Linked DNA regions of Drosophila melanogaster. The protein of the gene in region 1 purifies or fractionates together with the protein of each later gene. This does not show direct contact. Each region holds a gene or a part of one and is shown in the gene's direction. Other genes may lie near its edges. The genes, in order: Ndc80, Spc25 and Prp31.

Region 1 (3,753 bases):
TATATATGGGTGTACAGACATTATATACATATATATATATATACATACTTGCATGCATTGTATTTGCGACTCTACTTAAGGCAAGTCCACCTTTTGGACTGGCTCTCCACCTAATCGCAATCTCTCGGTTTCTGTTGCTGCATGTTCTTAATACTATTTCACCTAGCTCCCCACCCCTCCCCACATATTATATTCAATTTTTTTTATTTAACCAAAATTTTAGTTAAAAAAGAGACAATTCAGATTGTAATCTATTTAGGCAAGTGGTAGGGTATCTCTAGCATTAGAAGAAGCTAAAAGTAAAAACAATTTCGTAAAACCAAAATTTTTTCTCTAGGATCATAATTATTAAGCTGAGCTAAAAACGAAAACAAATTTTAACTAACTAAGAAGGGACAAAATTGAAATAAGATCAAAAAAGGAAAACATGTACATTTTGGAAGAAAAATCAAAGTCCACAAAATTTTAACGAATGAGAGGCAAAAAATCAGACAAAAATGAACCACAAGAGAATGAAAAAAAAAAACAAAAATGGAAATAGGTTTCTAAGATGTTTTAATATATTTTGTAATAACAATGCTCGAGTATTTTTCATGTATGTAGTTTTTGATCCAAAATTGAGCGATCAACAAAGGCAAAGGGGTTCTCAACGATCGGTTCCTCGAGAGGATTTGCCAATCATCGATCATAGGGCTCTATTGCTGAACGCTTTGTTTTGGGCACAACTACCTCCTCCGCTTGGCACCGGCAGTAGCCTCGTCTGTGGAGGATCTGGTGGTCCGCTTCCGTTTCTGGCTGCTAGGGGGCTTATCTTCGGCAACTTCTTCTTGGGATTCGGATGCCTTTGCCTGCTTCTTTTGGGCTTTCGGTTGTCTCTTCGTTTTGACCAACTCTTTGGATTGCTTCGCTTCCTTTGAATCGACTTGAGTTGGCTCTTCCTCGGATTTCTGTTCCTTTTTGGATTTACGCGAAGTTGAAGTTGAAGTTGGTGCCTTCGTTTTTGATAAAAACAATATTTAGTTAATTTTTTCTGGACTTATTGGGCCTTCCCTACCTCGTTTTCCTGTGCTTCCTCTGTGGACTCCGACTTCTTTGGCGATGCTAGAGCCTCGGACCCCGGTAAATCAATTTTAGATAACTTCTGCGTGTTGATCTGTTCCTTGGACTCCTGCTGGTCACCTAGAATCCCTACAATCCGATCGTATACCTCCTCCACAGTGGGAAACTTGCGAGCACGTGGTGGACCCCGCTTTAGACCCGACCAAAGTGCCACCTGCTCCTGCTTTCCCATTCCGCCGGCGCTCAAACTTAACTCGAAGGCTCCTCGCCGTGGTGCTCCAAGTGCATTCAGCTGGAGCTGAAGCTGTTGGAGACCACGCTCCCGGAGAGCGGAGTGCAGCTCCTCCGCTCGACGACGAAAGACTCGTCAGGATCGGCAGTGCTCTACGTAGAGCACCGGCGCATTGGGATCCAGCTCTTCGCCTGCATCCCGCTCAGCGATTGGCGCCTGTAGAATCGTTTGGAAATGCATTTAGCTATTGAAATAATGTAGTATTTCAATCGTACCTCTGCTTTTTTGTTCCGTTTTGGTGGCATGATCCTAAAGTAATCAGAATTTTTAAGTAAATGGCGCACTTTTTATTTGGCAGTGCTGCCAGATGGTTTAGTAACACTAGGGTGTCAATCGCGACTGCATCCCTGGAAACTATCGATTTGCCGATAACAGGCGTTAAACGACGCGCGATTCCCAATCAAACTGAGTAAACATTTAATTTAATCAACGTAGTTTCAATAACGCCAAGATGTCGCACCTGATGCCCCGGCGGACCAGCGAGTTCCGTGGCGATGTACTGGAGGAGCGAGGCACTGCCGATAAGCGGCAAACCAGGTGAGCATCGAAATCCAACTGATCAAATCTTGTCAACGATGCAAATGCGTATCCTTTTCCAGGGCAACAAAGCGGAGCGCAGCCACGCACACTCCGTCCTCCAGCCAGGCGGCACCCAGAAGGTATGCACAACCATTTGATTATCGAAGGCACAACCAGTAATGTTTGAATCCAATCCGCATAGGCCGTCCGCATCGCGTCTGCCGCAGCCGCTGAACTTGGAGCGCGATCGGGCCAGTCAAATGGGCGTGACGCCCAAGCGAGGCCACCGGTTTGTGCCCTCCACTGCGGAGCGCGCCATTGCGCCACACTCCGACAAGAAATGGGTGGCGGAGAGGGCACAGCAGATCCTGGAATACCTACATGGCATTCAGAACAGCGAGGCGCCCACTGGACTTATTGCGGATCTATTCAGTCGGCCCGGGGGTTTGCGACACATGACCATCAAGCAATTTGTTTCCATTCTCAACTTTATGTTCCACCACATCTGGCGAAATCGCGTGACAGTGGGCCAGAACCATGTCGAGGATATTACCAGCGCAATGCAAAAGCTACAGTATCCTTATCAGGTAAGCAACTCGGATGCTCTTAGGTTTCCAGTGTTCGTTTAATTCTTAAATCCACTTGTGACTTGCAGGTGAACAAATCATGGCTTGTATCGCCAACAACACAGCATTCATTCGGCCATGTGATCGTTCTGCTGGACTTTCTCATGGACTTTTTACCGCCTCTGCCCTCGTCGGATGTGGTGGAGGAGGAGTTTCCGTTTATGGAAACCATGGAGCAGCCCAGCTCGTATCTGAATAGCATGCACTGCGAGTCGACGACCATCATGTCCACCACACAGGCGCACGCCATTCAGCTAGATGAAGACGTCAATGGTCTGCTCTTCGAAGAGGCTAGCAAATGCATTGCCTTGTGGGATCAGGAGCTTACCAATGAGGAGGCCAAGCTGCAGGCGGAGACCAGGGATCAGGTGATCAGCAAGAAGTGTGATTTGCCCGATCGCAAAGCCTTAGACCAGCTAATCGGCGATCTGAAGACGAAACTACAGCAACTGGAGAATAAGTTGCATGATCCCAGTGAAGACAATAAACTGAACAAACTGGAACGTCTTACCAAAGAGCACGATCAGCTTGCCCAACAGCTAGCTGCCAGTGAAGAGGAGCTGATCAAGAAACTGAAGTTATACGAACAGCTGTCTGCCCAGGTAGAAGAAAAACAGTCTAATCTCCGCCAGCAAATGAAGTATGAAAAGCGTCTGGAGCAGGCGGTTAACAGGCAGAAGTTCTCCGCCCAGCAGCTAAAGGAGCTTCAAATGAAGTGCGACGATATGGAAAACTACTCCAAGGCTTATGAGCGCCAGGTGAAGGAGGTGTCCGAGCTGGAGCTGCATCAGCAGGTGATGCTGTCGCGCGCCAAGCAAAAGCAACTGGATTCCGTTGAGGTCTTTAACTCGCACGTGCGCCACCTGAGCATGGACCCGGTGATTTGTGGCCTGATAAAGAGCGGCATTGGCCAGCAATCGGACCTTACTCTGCCACTAAATCCCAATCAAGAGGACATCTCGGAGAGGGTGCAGTGCCTGGAGTTGCTGGGCAAACTTCTGCAACAGCACCGCCAGCAGAATATCGATCGGCGTCAGATGTTGGACAAGCAGGTGGCCAAGGTAAAGTCTGATTCCATCGAGTTAGACACCGAAATCGCCACCATGGACTCTCAGTTGCGGGCGCAGAAACAGCGTCTGACCAAAATGGAGGCCAGTTATCGGACCAAGCGCGACATGCAGGCGCAGCACAGGCAACAGCTGCTCGAGGATCAGTACGACCAGACCGCCCGTCTGGATGAGTTGGAGAAGAGGGAGA
Region 2 (3,753 bases), on another chromosome or scaffold:
GGGCATATCTACAATGCGAGCAGTCATTCGAATTGCCCGTGTGGTCTCATTCAGGCAATTTAGCTCGTCGTCTGTCAAAGGCTCGCTCTCAATGCAGCCATCCTTGTTGATTAGCACAAACTCAACATTGACTACGTTGCGTCCTGAATTTGCGTTTCCATCTCCACATCCAAGATTTAGCTTTGGCTGACTTGAGGCCAGCAGATTGCCCGTTTTGCGGGAATAGAGTGGAAAAGCGCGAACCACCGCACAGGCGCTGGCGAATAGATTCTCTCGTTCGCAGACGAGCACCACGCTCTCCTCGGAAACGTTCAGCACATGGTTCTTTACCAGACGAGTGATGGCATGAGCCCGGGATGCCGTATTGTGTCGGGATGCCTTCAATGGCAGGGCAGCCACGGTGGCCACATCGAGATAGAGGGATACCTTATCGGTGGGCGCGGGATGCAGACAAGCGACGGCATTCAGGAAGGTCTCCTCGGTGACGCGCGGACTGAGTTTGCTCTCCAGATGACTGAACTTCAGTAGGTTTAGATGGCGCAGCTGGCCGATGATCAGGACCGGATGTGTCTGCGGATCACTGCAGCCTAGCGACTCGTTAAACTTTACGTCCGTGGCCATCTGTAAGAGAATGTGTGTGCGAATGAGTAAAGAATGGAATGGCTAGCCAAATCCCAGTGATAAGCCGCCGGTATTATCTTATCGGTGCTAATCTGGTGTTTAGCGCTCCAAGTGCCCCACTTGCTTATCAGTCGACGACTTTGCACCACAGGGGCGGTCAATGGATGCAGCCATCCATAAATCACGAGAGCCAAAACCGGCGAGATAAGCAGTGGCATTTGGGTTATGGGTAGGGCCATCTGGACAAACACAGGGGCGTTACTCATCGGTTGCAAGCGGATGCAACGCTGTAGGGGAAGTTTAAGAATAGCTGACCCATATTAGAATGGCTCAATTAAAGTAGCTCCATTGTGAAAAATACTGCAGTATAATTTTATAACTAAAATTCTAATAAAAAACAATCAATCAATAATTATGTTTACAACTAAAAAGCATTGGGTTCATAAAATGAAGCTTCAAAAGAAAAAAATTACCTCTAAAATATTTTAACTATAATAATCACCTAATATACATAAATATAAATTGTATTGCATTTATAATGAACAAATTAAGATAAATTGTAGTAGCAATATGAATTCTAATAATTTACATAACATTTTCTGAGTTTTAGCGAATATTAGAAAATCTTATAAAATCAAATAACGTTTTTTTTTACAAATTATTAATTTTAATATATTTTGGTACAATAACTTAACTAAGTAGTTAACATTTTCAACTTAAAGCCATCAATTTTCCAGCTTTACAGTCGCAAGGCAATAAAAACATAAACTACCGAAAAGATATCGTTCAGCACATATCTTTACGATGCTCCATAAACTCGCATGGGTTTTATAAGCACGATATCATTGTGCATAAAGCGATTTAAGTTTCTTAAAATCGCAAATGCCACATGACCTTGAATTCGGTGCAACAAGAACAACAAGTGGGTCGTTGACCGACTCGCAGCATTCGAAACCGAAAAGTGGATAAACATCTAATTTACCCATTTTCAATTGGATTTGACTGGACACTCGATATGTAGAAATATTATGCAAATTCTATATTCTCTATTTTTAGACTCTTTGTTCGCGATTTCTTCGTTTGCAAAGCGTTTTTTGCACATTTTCTGCCTTTTTATTCGCTCACCTTTTTGAAGCGGGCGCTGCTGTAGGTGCGAGCGAGATGGTTGCGTATTGCCTGGACGCAGAGCAGCAAACGCATGAAGTGCCTGCTTCAGAAATTGCACAAAAATTTGCCAAAAGTGCCGACGTTTTATTTTTATTTTATTTTGCTGCCAATTTGACTTGCAATTTTTTGCTTGCCGGCTAATAGAGATGTGACTTGCACGACGATAAGTCGATGTCAGCTATCGATAAGTGCAGAACCACTTTTTTCTTTCAGCCTGGCCACCCTGCTGGTGTCGTGGAAGTGTCATCCCTAATGAGAAGTACCACCACTAACTGGAAAGCAAAACAAGCGTCTGGAAAACGGCGCTTAGTTTTTAAAGATTTTAATTGATTGCAGTAAATTGAGTTTAAAATGGCAATTATTATGACTGAATCGAGTTACGAAAGGCGCGTAAAGGCTTTGTACGAAAAACAAATTCACATGGAAGCCCTCGAGGCGAAATTCATCAAAAAGGTCTTTAAATTCAACAGCAATTTGTGTGAGTTGGAATTTATCTCCATATATCTCCATTTCAATTGATATATTTCACTAAATATTTTAGTGGATGTCAAGGAAGCAGCTTCGCGCCATCAGCGGAAAGTGGGAAAGTTGCAAAAAGTGCTCATGGAGCGGCGGGAGGAGTTGGACAAGCGAGTTTCCTTCATAGAGGAACTTGATCGAGAACTGGAGGCCACCAAACTTCACAATTTGGCCATGAAAGATTGGTTTAAACAGCAGAAAATGCTGGCCAAACAGCGCAAAAACGAAATCATGGAAAGGTCAGGGATTAGGTCAAAGATAATCATATTAAGATTTTCTTAGCACGAATGGCTAGCTAATATTTTCCGGGCTCCAATGGGTTCGATCTTGTCCTTATTATACATAAAAATGACTATTCATATTGATTTTTAGTCCATCCAAAACTACTATTGGTACAAATATATGTATATGACAATAATGTATTGTCAACATTTATGGTCTTTACATGCGTACAAGTTGCAGTGAGAGACTAATCAAATACTTTATTTACTTTAACTAAATCTATTAGGAGCATCATCAAAGTCTATAAACTGCAAATAATAGATATAGTTGAGGTCGTGTTCCAAATAACTTATTTAGCTTACATACATAATTTATTTGCATAGCCTCACATGCGCTCTTATTTTTCAAACAAATCCGATTTTAATGCGGTCAGTTTTAAACTTAGTATACTATAATGAGAGCAATGTGTGTTTATTTGTTTTATTTTATAGCATTCACACGCTGTCGAAGACAACAAGAACCTATATAAATCAAGAAGCGCTGCCGGCACGTGTGAAGGGTGTCACTGTACTCCGTGGCGATAAACGCGACCAGTTGATACCCTTTGATCTGAAGGCGACCGATGTGGAAGGACTGGACTCACTGTGTCAGCATCTCGAGAGTCTAAATGTGGACGTGGCGCAGTGGCAGCAGCTTATCTCGCTGGCCATGGACATGGCTATGGAGTCACGTGCTCCCACTACTCCGCCCAAGGAAGCAGACAATTGCAAGTCTATAATCGAGATTGATCTCACATCGCCGATGAGCCACACCTGACTTCCGATTAACTGATTTACTTGGATTAGGGGGAAGACCCTTTTCCAATGGAGCACTTTATTTTAGCATTATAAATAGTTGGCTTCCAATAAAAGCTCAATTGGGAATTCATCTTAACGAATTAAGCATCTTATTATAGCAGTTTTTTAGCCATTTAAGTACTGCTTGTAATTGTTTAAGTGCAGTGTAAATTATACATATATCTCCCAAAATTTTTTTTTTTTTCTTTTTTCTGATATATCATCTTCACTGGAAGCTTAAAAATTTTTAGAGATATCGCCAAAGAAGAGATATCGCGAAAGGCTCCAGTTTAAGTAGTTCCAATTCAAACTTATTCAAATTAAAAACCAGTTATTGAATTTATTTTAAATCAAAAGTCTTCTTATCATATTTAACCAAATTTACAAC
Region 3 (3,753 bases), on another chromosome or scaffold:
GGCGGGAACAGTTCTTGTCGTCTTCAAACTCACCCAAATGAAAGTCACCAATGGAGGTGTCTATGAAGCACACTCCATACCGGCTACAAGTTCCCTCATCCTTCTCCACTATGGCCAACATATAGTTGGGCTGATGATTCGGCCCGATCTTGCACTGTGAGCCAAAGACCTGGGTGCCACGATTGGTGATCTGGCAGATCTCGCGGGCCACCACTTTGTCGAACTTGGTGGCCTTGATCCGCTTGCAGCGCTCAGTCATCATATCTGGAGTTTCCGTTTGCTCAACGCGAGCCACCTAAAGAAAAACTTGTATTAGTTTTACTGGGAAAAGGAGCTATCCTTGGACAAATTACCTTGAAGCCCCTGTCTACGAGAATGGTGGACATCTTGTCGAAGGATATCTCCGGGAAACCGGAGTGAGCAAACTCGCCGCGCATGTAAGTGAAGCCCAGCTCGTTGACGCCCACATCCGCATCCATGTGATACAGTTCATAGAACTTGCCGACTTTAAAAAACAAGACGCAGTCATAGTTGTCCGACTTAAGGACCCACCACTGTCGAACTCCCGGCGACAGGCCATTGAGGAACTTCTCCGGCACATGCAAGGTGCTCTTATCGTAGTCCGGATGATCTGGACGTCTTCCCTCCTTGTCCTTGATCTTGTCCGGTTGCAGGAACTCTAGTTTCTGGTGCGGCCAAACAACGGGCTCATCCAGATTGGACGTGTTGGTCACGATATCATCGTAGGAAGCATCCTGCTTGGCATTGCTCTGCAGGTTCTTCAGCTTTTCTTGAAAGGTTGCACCCTCGGCCAACTGGATGGTCGACTCTAGCTTGACCTTCTTGCTCGATGGCTCATTGTTATTGTTGTTATTCAGAATCTTAGACTTTTTGCGCGATTTCTTGGGTGTCGGACTGTCCACGGACATGTCGTTCTCGCTAGGCGACACCTCCTCCGCGCCGCTGCTAACGCTATCATCGCTGGCTTCATTCTCATCCGGTTCGTAGTCGGAGGCGCAATCGGAGAAGTCGTCCTCCGACTTGGTTACCTCCATTTCCGGCTCACTGTCCGATTCCGGCTGAACGATGCGCTTCCGCTTGCGTTGACCACTGGCCGGCTCATCGTCGGAAATGGGCAACTTCCTCTTGGCCGCCGGCTTGGAAGCCTCTTTCTTACCATCCTTCACTTTTGGCTGCTGGTTCTGGAGATTCTCCTTTTCGCTCTTGGATGCATCGGGATCTGTTTTCACGCTAGGAGTCAATTTCTTTTTGTCGAAAGCTGGCGACTTGGAAAAGTAATTTAGTAGCGTGTTTGTGGGCGTCCCGCCCACGCTGGTGTTTAACTTCTTGGACATGACAATGGCCTAGAAACGTCTGCCAGGTTACTCAAAAAACCAGGATGCAGACGCTGCGATTGTGCGCCAAAACCAAAAAATATTCTGTCAAATTGTGGCTTAATAATACCGAAATAGTAGCTTGACTATTTAGTATATTTAGGGAACTCGTGCCCGTTGGAATTTTCGAATACCACTGAGGAGATTTTATTTTTTCGTTACAATTTGATGCTTCTTATATAATAAGTCATTTTTTTTCATTTTTGATCTGTGTTTATCTAGGCTTTGTTGTCCCAAAATAAATAAAGAGTGATAGTTAAGAATTAAGCAAAACAATTGATAGCCATACCTATATTTTCATCAACCTTATATTTTCAACCATATTTTCAATTCCTTTACTTTTAGATACAGAATTCTAATTAAGCAGGAAAATCGAAACTTTCCAGAATAATAACAAGAGTTATGATATTGGATCGTTCTGTTCATGAAATGTTTATTGAATTTGGTCAAATTGATCAATTAAAATCCAGTGGAATAGCCTTATGGTATTCTTTAAATGAATACCCTATATATTTCATGCTAATACTTAGTATTTTTTCAATGAACCGCATGGTATTCTAAGGCGGCTGAGCAACGGTCACTTCAATTCCAAAACAAACTTAATTTCACGAGATCGCAAAATAAACTTTTGAAATAAGCCAAAATGTCGCTAGCCGATGAGCTTTTAGCCGATCTCGAGGAAGACAATGACAATGAGCTGGAGGAGGAGGATTCGGAGATGGCCAGTGCAGAGGACGAGAGCGTAAGGAACCAAAGCAAATGTTGATCAGACCTAATGATTCCCCTCCCACAAAACAGTTGCTGGCGGAGAAGCTGGCTAAGCCGGCTCCCAATCTGATGGACGTGGATGTAACCGTGCAGTCGGTGCGGGAACTGTGCAAGCTGCGCGACTCTGAGCGCCTGAAGAACACGCTGCAGCAGATCGAGCACTATGCCAGTCGCCAGAGAACTGCAGCCGAAATGCTGGGATCCGTAGAATCCGATCCAGAGTACTGCCTCATCGTGGACGCTAATGCCATAGCTGTGGACATTGACAACGAGATCTCCATTGTGCACAAGTTCACCAAGGAGAAGTATCAGAAGCGATTCCCCGAATTGGACTCCCTGATCGTGGGTGAAATCGAGTACTTGCTGGCGGTCAAGGAGCTGGGCAACGACCTGGACCAGGTCAAAAATAACGAGAAGCTGCAGGCTATTCTCACGCAGGCCACCATTATGATTGTGTCAGTCACGGCGTCCACCACACAGGGGTAAGTTATTTGAACGGTGTAACCCAAAATAACATGTCACTGAATCCCATTCCCTTTCGCAGAACCATGCTGACACCGGCGGAGAAGGCAAAGATCGACGAGGCCTGCGAAATGGCCATCGAACTGAATAACTTCAAGTCCAAGATCTACGAGTATGTGGAAAGTCGCATGACCTTCATAGCCCCAAATCTTTCCATGATTGTTGGAGCATCGACGGCGGCTAAACTCTTGGGCATTGCTGGTGGCCTTTCCAAATTATCCAAAATGCCGGCCTGCAATGTTCAGGTGTTGGGTGCACAAAAGAAAACCCTCTCGGGCTTCTCACAAACGCAGATGTTGCCGCACACTGGCTATGTGTACTACTCACAGATTGTGCAGGATACTGCGCCAGATCTGCGACGCAAGGCAGCTCGCTTGGTGGCCGCCAAGTCCGTGCTGGCTGCTCGTGTTGATGCCTGTCATGAGAGTGTCCACGGGGAGATTGGACTGCGCTTCAAGGAGGATGTGGAAAAGAAGCTGGACAAGCTGCAGGAGCCGCCGCCGGTGAAGTTCATAAAGCCGCTGCCCAAACCCATCGAGGGAAGCAAGAAGAAGCGAGGAGGCAAACGCGTGCGCAAGATGAAGGAACGATATGCGCTGACAGAGTTCCGCAAGCAAGCGAACCGCATGAATTTCGGAGACGTAAGTTTCTGGCTTAAAAATATAATGGTTATGTATTAATCTTTGAACTTTTCTTTCAGATCGAAGAGGATGCCTACCAAGGAGATCTGGGCTATTCACGCGGCACCATCGGCAAAACTGGCACCGGCCGCATCCGATTGCCCCAGGTGGATGAGAAGACCAAGGTGCGCATTAGCAAAACGTTGCACAAGAATCTGCAGAAACAGCAGGTGTACGGCGGCAACACCACGGTCAAACGCCAAATCTCCGGAACGGCATCCAGTGTGGCCTTTACGCCACTGCAAGGTCTAGAGATTGTGAATCCGCAGGCGGCGGAGCGTTCGCAGACGGAGGCCAATGCCAAATACTTTTCAAACACATCCGGATTCATGTCAGTGGGACAGCGGACCACTTAAGAGAACAGCTCTATCCTTATTTTCTATAAAATT

What was found.
Region 2: the proteins of Ndc80 (region 1) and Spc25 purify together in Drosophila melanogaster (affinity purification with mass spectrometry; 2 studies listed by BioGRID). This does not show direct contact.
Region 3: the proteins of Ndc80 (region 1) and Prp31 purify together in Drosophila melanogaster (affinity purification with western blotting; one study listed by BioGRID). This does not show direct contact.

The regions. Positions count from the first base shown.
Region 1 is NC_004354.4:13,610,015-13,613,767, reverse strand, and holds the start of Ndc80 (Ndc80), read left to right. Parts: upstream 1-1,705; 5' UTR 1,706-1,802; coding exon 1,803-1,888; intron 1,889-1,950; coding exon 1,951-2,010; intron 2,011-2,072; coding exon 2,073-2,457; intron 2,458-2,525; coding exon 2,526-3,753.
Region 2 is NT_033777.3:12,959,697-12,963,449, forward strand, and holds Spc25 (Spc25), read left to right. Parts: upstream 1-2,048; 5' UTR 2,049-2,139; coding exon 2,140-2,266; intron 2,267-2,329; coding exon 2,330-2,546; intron 2,547-3,020; coding exon 3,021-3,345; 3' UTR 3,346-3,553; downstream 3,554-3,753. Other genes in the region: grsm (granny smith), read right to left, coding at 1-621. UniProt on the Drosophila melanogaster protein: Acts as a component of the essential kinetochore-associated Ndc80 complex, which is required for chromosome segregation and spindle checkpoint activity during meiosis and mitosis.
Region 3 is NT_037436.4:15,157,133-15,160,885, forward strand, and holds the start of Prp31 (Pre-mRNA processing factor 31), read left to right. Parts: upstream 1-1,967; 5' UTR 1,968-2,037; coding exon 2,038-2,136; intron 2,137-2,192; coding exon 2,193-2,644; intron 2,645-2,706; coding exon 2,707-3,325; intron 3,326-3,384; coding exon 3,385-3,720; 3' UTR 3,721-3,753. Other genes in the region: Msh6, read right to left, coding at 1-295, 354-1,355.